Linked DNA regions of Callithrix jacchus. The protein of the gene in region 1 purifies or fractionates together with the protein of each later gene. This does not show direct contact. Links are inferred from orthologs where the notes say so. Each region holds a gene or a part of one and is shown on either strand. Other genes may lie near its edges.

What was found.
Region 2: the proteins of MKI67 (region 1) and IFI16 purify together in Homo sapiens (affinity purification with mass spectrometry; 3 studies listed by BioGRID and IntAct, with this or other methods). This does not show direct contact. The link is inferred for Callithrix jacchus from reciprocal best matches to the Homo sapiens genes MKI67 and IFI16.

What each region holds. Positions count from the first base shown.
Region 1 is NC_133513.1:121,413,453-121,417,277, forward strand, and holds part of MKI67 (proliferation marker protein Ki-67), read right to left. Parts: intron 2,930-3,825; coding exon 2,884-2,929; intron 2,395-2,883; coding exon 1,315-2,394; intron 1-1,314. UniProt on the Homo sapiens protein: Protein that associates with the surface of mitotic chromosomes and acts both as a chromosome repellent during early mitosis and chromosome attractant during late mitosis.
Region 2 is NC_133519.1:19,004,725-19,008,649, reverse strand, and holds the start of IFI16 (gamma-interferon-inducible protein 16), read right to left. Parts: upstream 2,944-3,925; 5' UTR 2,709-2,943; intron 1-2,708.

The DNA.
Region 1 (3,825 bases):
TGAGAAAACGTTCCAAGACTGGCCATTTATTTCACATTAGCACTGAAGACTAATCAGTGTAAAGTCACAGAAACATAGCACGTACAACACACCTCCATTCTTGTGACCCGGCTGAAGCTTAAGCCACTAAGAGTTCCTAAAGGACTGCAGGAGACGCCACTAAGACGTGCAGTTCCCACTGGACAGTACAGAGGCGTTCTTTAAAACGATCAAGCATTATGTGTGGACACATGAAAGAGGAGCATGAAGCAGTAGCTTTCACCCTGGATTAGGGGGATGACAGCCGGAGGGAGCTCTCTAAAGACATGAGCTTGGGCTTCACCCAGTGACCAGAATACACGAGCTGTGAAAACTCCTCCAGGTGGTTCTGAGTCAATTCACAGGAGTCCAGCCTCAATTATACATCTTCCTGAGCCAGCAGCTAACATAAATTCCTTGTCTAAGCGATGCTTCCCCTTTATGAGGCGTGGTGGAACACTAAGACTGATGTTACAGGCCTTATTTTATCGATAGCCTCATGCCCCACCACTATGGGCCACCTGCAGAAACAGAGCCTGATAGTACGAATACTGCATCCATGGCCTGGACAACTTTTCTTCTAAAAGCCAATCCCAAGGAGTATAGGAAGCTCCCAAGGAGCTACCACACCTGCTATCAAGGTCATATCTCTGCCGCTCACTGGGTGGTCTTGGATTGTCAGTTTCCTCATCTGTGACATAGATCTAAAGAGAAAACCTAGCCATGAGCACTCCTACTGCACCAGGAATCAAGTGTTGATGCTGCAAAGCATTTAGAAATTTGCCTGGCATATAAACTCATGGGTAGAGTCCAGTGTTTACAGTAAATCGTTTGCAGGATACTCTGAAAACAGTATAAACACTTGAGAACTACCACTATATTCAATGATCTCCAGTGATTTATTCCAAATGACCAAACTCATATGACACAGTTGATTGTAGTTCAGAATTCAACTCCATGTGAAAAGCAATTATGAGTATTCTCTTTTCTGTTTTGTGACAGATGGAGGAGAATGGAATATCTCGGGGGCCACCCTACCTCCTTCAATAACCCCTGCTTCCTGCTTCCCTGACAACCTCCGCCTCCTGTCATTCCTTGTTGTAATTACCTAGGCCTTCGGTACTAAGCTATCAGGGAAAACAGTGCGCATGTCTGTCCTATCCCTGTGCCATAAGTGCTTACACTCTCTTCCACAACGCCAGTCACTACTGAATGAATCAAGGTCTCACCGATTCATGGCTAAACAGAAGGTGTTCATCTTTTAGAAAAAATAAATTTACAATGAAATAAACTTACTAAGGGAATCACCAAAGTTGCTGATATCAACTGCACTAAGACCAGGTAACTCAGGGCACATCTGTCCAGTTGTGACACCCACTTTCTCAGGCTCATGGAGGGAATCCTTTTGGATTTTTCTTTCAACTTCAGTGAGCCACACAGTTAAAAGGGGGTCATTTTGAATTTCGGCTTCTGTAGACAGAACTTCCACATCTATAGGAATACTTCCTCTGGTTTTGGAAGAGAGATTTCCTGGTTTAGCGGCAGAGTCGGCTGCATCTTCAACCTTAGCTGGTGTTCGATTTCTAGCTGAAAGCTTCCTGGGAGTAAGAGTTTTATCGCCAGCCTTGAAGCCTTTGTTTTTACCCAGATTCACAGATTCTCTTCTACCAATAGTATACAGGTCTTTGTTCTTATGTTTTTGTGGAGAATTTTGTTGCCGTGGATATTGTTCAGGAGTCTTCATTTGAGCCGGCTCATAGAGAGGAAAGCTGGCACCCACCACCTTGCTGGGAGTCTGAACAGACTCCACATCTCTTCCCTTGCCCTTGGCCTGGGCAAGCTCTCGCTCAGGTGAAGCAGGCTCTGCCATGGCGTGGCTGCCTCCACCAGATTTCGGTCTTGACATACATGAGACCAACAGTTGTGTCTCCTGCTGTAAAACATCAGCACTTTCTTTTTCTGCTGTGTAATCAGTTTGTAATCCCGATTTTCTACAATACTGTGGCACATTTTCTTTTTGTGATTTTATACCCAGCTCTTTCTTCATTGACTGATATAGCTTCCTAAAGGGAGATTCATTTTTTTGGCTATCGTCAAGACACTGTGTGGTGGAAAGAGACTTCAGTTCTCCACAATGGCTCATTAATTTTACCCTGGAAATTTCTCTAAAATCCCCAGAAATGCGATGAGCTGCATTTCTGCCATTATGTCCAGCATGTTCTGAGGAGTGACCATCAGGTGTTTCCTGGGCAACACTGCCTTCTGAGTCATCCGCAGTACTGTCTTCTTTGACAGTCTTGGTATGTACCTGAGGACTTCCTGAAACTTTTCCTTCAGTGATTTTTAAATACGCCTTGGAATCTGCAGCTTTCCCATCTTGGCAATGAATTATGAAATAAGAAACAGAAGTTCAACATTTTCTCAATGGTTAACATTTGTGGAATTCAATTATTTCAATCGTTTCAGATTGTCTTATAAGCTAGCTTTTACTTAGCCTACAGATTATTTAATGTCTAAAACTTGCAAGTCTCAAGATATTAGTATTATAATACAAATAAATAAATCACATTAGCGCCAATAACCAGTATGCAATATCACATGCTATCCAACCACTGAGACCTGAGCTGGCAGCTGAACAGCTCTAGGTTTTCTCATACCTAGAGTCTCTCCTAGGCACAGCACCCCATCAGTCGCCAAGGGAAAGAGTTAGGCATCTGCCTGTTGTTGACATGTTAAATGACACCTCCTCCACTTCTGACAGGCTAGATGTTTAGCACTTGCATTCTCGTTGCCTTTTCTTTGCCATTATGCTTCACAAAGACCTGATTTTTCAGGATTCCAGAACAAAACCCAACCGCTACTCACCAGGGTTAGAAGAGAAGCTGGATCTTGAGACACGACGTGTTGGCTCCTGTGAGTTGGGAAAATAAGAACAGTTATTTGCAGGCCTTTCTAAATACTGACAGTCACAATAGTGAAAAAGTATTGATTGTTTTCTGGCCAGGCATGGTGGCTCATGCCTGTAATCCCAGCACTTTGGGAGGGCAAGGTGGGCGGATCACTTGAGGTCAAGAGTTTGAGACCAGCCTGACCAACATGGTGAAACCCCATCTCTACTAAAAATATAAAAATTAGCCAGGCGTGGTGGCCAGGTACCTGAAGTCCCAGCTACTCAGGAGGCTGAGGCAAGAGAATCTCTGGAACGCAGCAGGCACAGGTTTCAGTGAGTGGAGATCGTGCCACTGCACCCCAGCCTAGGCGACAGAGCGAGACTTCATCTCAAAAAAAAAAAAAAGCTTTCTTTACCAAACCAATCCTGTATGACTTTTAAAGACTGTTTGAGAAATGAGCTCAAGTCATTTGGGAGCTTGGTCAGGATAAAAGTGCATCTTAATTGACTTGTTAAAAAATAGTAAGTGATTAATGGAAAACAAACTCAAGGCTTAAAATTATTACAATTGAACTCAGTGCATTTTTAGAACTTCTTTTGAAGTTATTTCCCACCATCATATTGTGGAAGAACCAAGTTAATATTAAACATCACCTAAACTGAAGATCTGTAGCCCACCATGAACACAGAACTGTGGACTGCATAATCGGTTTTCTCAGAAATGAGCCACAGGGGCTGGGTGTGGTGGCTTATGCTTGTAATCCCAGCACTTTGGGGGGCCAAAGTGAATGGATCATGAGGTCAAGAGAAGGAGACCATCCTGGACAACATGGTGAAACCCCATCTCTACTAAAAATACAAAAATTAGCCAGGCCTGGTGGCCCGCACCTGTAGTCCCAGCTACTGGGGAGGCTGAG
Region 2 (3,925 bases), on another chromosome or scaffold:
TGGACTCAGAAAGTGTTGAATAAGCTGCATCTTTTTTTACTTCTAGTGCTTTTGTATTCCTTGTATCTATGCTCCACAAAGATACAGCACACCTTACTTACATCTTCGTGCCTAACGACTTTGCTAGTTCCTTCTTATTGCCTGGAAAGCCATTCCCACATTTCTTTGACTACTTCCCATACAAACTTAAGGCTCAATTGTGGCTTTGTGTCTCCGGGTAGATTTTAGAATCCTCTTATGGACAGAGTGTCACTCCTCTTGACCTTTTAACATCTGTGCACTTCCGTGATGACACTAAGTGCATGGTATGGATTCCAGTTTCTTTTTAAGTTAATGAATGTTTTAATTTTAGGAATGATGTCTTTGTGTACCTTTTGTATAACCAAGATATTTAAATTTCTGGGGCTATTAATTGGGGCAGGCATGGTAGCTCACACCTGTAATCCCAGCACTTTGGGAGGCTGAGGTGGGCGGATCACGAGGTCCGGAGATCCAGACCATCTGGCTGAACAGTGAAACCCCCATCTCTACTAAAAATACAAAAAATTAGCCAGGCGTGGTGGCACGTGCCTGCAGTCCCAGCTACTCAGGAGGCTGAGGCAGGAGAATTGCTTGAACCCAGAAGGCGGAGGTCGTGGTGAGCCGAGATTGTGCCATTGCACTCCAGTCTGGGTAACAACAGCGAAACTCCGTCTCAAAGCAAACAAACAAACGAAAAAAAACTATTATCTGATACTCAGGGCCTTAGTCTTTTTGCAAGACAAAGCCTCATACCACACAAAAAAATCTATTGAAAATAATATTTAATAAGAAAACAATAAATAAAATTTAAAATGCTGTCAGCCAAAAGATAGGAAAAGTAAAAAATAAACTTTAGGTGTTCCTAATATCTTAAAAAGAAAGCCCTGATCAAAGAGAAGAGAAACAGAAATTCTAACAGCATGGTAAAGGGAGGGTAGAAAAAGAACAGGGCAAGTCACTAAAGTAATTGTCTTAGATAGTGAGATAATATAGAAGTGTCATAAATAGAAGATAGCAGATTGTTAATTACCAGCATACACCTAAAAGGTCTGATCTGTTAAGTGACAACTTTCGTCAAATTTGACTTAAGAAATATAAATACATGTTAACAAAAGATGAAAAAAATTGCTAAAAATTATCTTGCAAAGAATCACTAAAGAAAGCAAGTTTATGCTTGTGTAAATTTAAATATACCTTAAGCCCAAAGGTAACTTCAGATACCTTATAATGATAAAAGGTTCAACTAGGAAATTATAAGTTTTAGTTATAAATTTATCTAATTTTGCTACAAAGCATTATTGTGAGAAAAAAAGAAAAAATAATAAAATAAATGCATCTAATTTATCTAATGATATTATTATTTTATAGTGCTTCGTGGTACTATAATTATTAGTATATATTTCTCTTTATATACACGCACATGCACCGACATAACTACACACACATATATGAAATCTGTAATGATATGTTTGAACATAGTAAACATTTATCTAATAATACATAAAATTCTGAAATCAGCATTTTAAAATGTCACATTCCACTATACACATATATTTCTATGTGCGTACACGTTTGTATAAATGATTATATATACATATAATATACGTGTGTGAATATATATTATACATACACCTAATATATATGATTGTGAGAGGACTACAAGGAAAAACATAGAAGATCAACATACTTATGAAAATATGAAGACACCACATACCTGAATAACTGAAACTGGAAAAAGTTTTCCACTGTATGTGTACATTTGCTCTCATGTTTTTTTAAATTGGGATGATATCACATAATACAGCTCTATGCTCAGATGTGTTTTTTACTTAATATTCTTTCGTGATACTTTTTTCATGTCACTATCTTGAGAACCCACCACAGCTACTGAGTTTCCAACACTTCCTCTGGTAAAAATAACCAAAACCTTCTTCTAAATATCATTGAATGCCAATACATACTCAGAAAATTAGTTTTAAAATCTGCAATGGTGGCCGGGCACAGTGGCTCAAGCCTGTAATCCCATCACTTTGGGAGGCCGAGGTGGGTGGATCACGAGGTCAAGAGATTGAGACCATCCTGGTCAACATGGTGAAACCCCGTCTCAACTAAAAATACACAAAATTAGCTGGGCATGGTGGCACGTGCCTGTAATCCCAGCTACTCAGGAGGCTGAGGCAGGAGAATTGCCTGAACCCAGGAGGCGGAGGTTGTGGTGAGCCGAGATCGCGCCATTGCACTCCAGCCTGGGTAACAAGAGCGAAACTCCGTGTCCAAAAAAAAAAAAAAAAAAAATCTGCAATGGTTGGCCAGGCGCCGTGGCTCACTCCTGTAATCCTAGCATTTTGGAGGGCGGAGGTGGGTGAATCACCTGAGGTCAGGAGTTCAAGACCAGCCTGGCCATCATGGTGAAACCCCCATCTTAAAAAAAAAAAAAAAAATCTACAGTGGTCAAAATGCATTTTCTCTTGTTCAGTCCTCAGTTGTGGTGGCATAAAAGAAGCCTGTTATCTTCCTAAGTAAGTGAAGGATTTATATCAAGCAACTCAGTTTTCACTTTTCTGAAAACCCAACCCTATTCCCATCCTCCATGACCCTGAATAACCGATACTGATTGTCCCCTTGCGACTCTGGGGACTTCAAAGAAGTAACAAGACCTTATTTACAAAACTAGCAACAGTACTCACCTCACTGGAAATTTTTCAACAGTGGTCCAGATCTTGAGATTTTCAGAAATGCGGGAATCAATGCTTATTTTGTTCAAGCGAGGAGATAAATCAGTAAAGGTCCCAGAAACAGAACTGCAGGATGTTGTAATTTCCTGAAATGCTAAGAAAATGAAGTATTTGCAAAGATAACAAGAAAAAAGGGCCTTGGTTAAGTCGCTGAGTAATCTGACTAGTGCCGGCTCTCTGCTGCTCTGCTATTGCCCCAGAGAAAATGGAGTTAGGAAACAACATGGAAACTCCTCCCACTACTGTTTTTAGGTTTCGTTTCTGTTAGTCAGAGAAAAGGAACAGTTTCCTTTTGAAGAGGGCTGAAGTGTGTGGTTAGAGCAAATGGGGGATGAGAAATTACTTTCATGGGTACAATGAACATTTTTCCCGTGCTGTGTACGCTAAAAGCTCTGACAGAATTGCATTTGTATCTCATAAATGTATATAAATACAAATAAATCAGTATATATATATATATATATATGTATTTTTTTTAAGAAAATTTAACAGCTGAAAAGAGTTTCAACATTAGAACTTTCTTACCCAGCAGACTTACATGTGGGTCCTTAGGGACCTATATTCCCTTAAATGATGCTCAGATATAAGCGAAGCAGGTGGCTTCTCCCTCCTTTCCTGTGCAGAGTGGCAGTGGTAGGAGGAGATCTTGGTAGAAGTGACTATCACTACCAGTGCTTTACTGCATCTCCTGGATGGGGAAATGTCTGGTATAAAATTGCTATTTGTTTAAATATTACCTGAAGTATTCATCTAATTGTTAATAGTTGACACACCTGGGGCTTTCCAGATCAGGAAGTCGTTATGAATATGTAAATTGTTGCTCAAATTTATATAAAGGAGTTTAACACTAGCTGTCCTTTTGCCTATGACTAGGTTACTTTACCTCAATGATTAGATTTATGATTACTCATGTTTTCTGCATTATTCATGGGTAAACACAAGAGGATAGTAGGGCTCAGACCTTGACAGCAATGAAGCCTTGAAAATCCTGGAAAATGCACTGAACTTCTGGTAGCAAAGGGAGCCTGTTTAATCCTTTGCTCAGCAATGTGTTTTTCTCTGTAAAGGGCAGCGGGTGCTCTTTAGAGTGCTGTAACCCCAGGATGTCAAATAAACGGCATCATCTCCGGGCACGGTGGCTCAAGCTTATAATCCCAGCACTTTGGGAG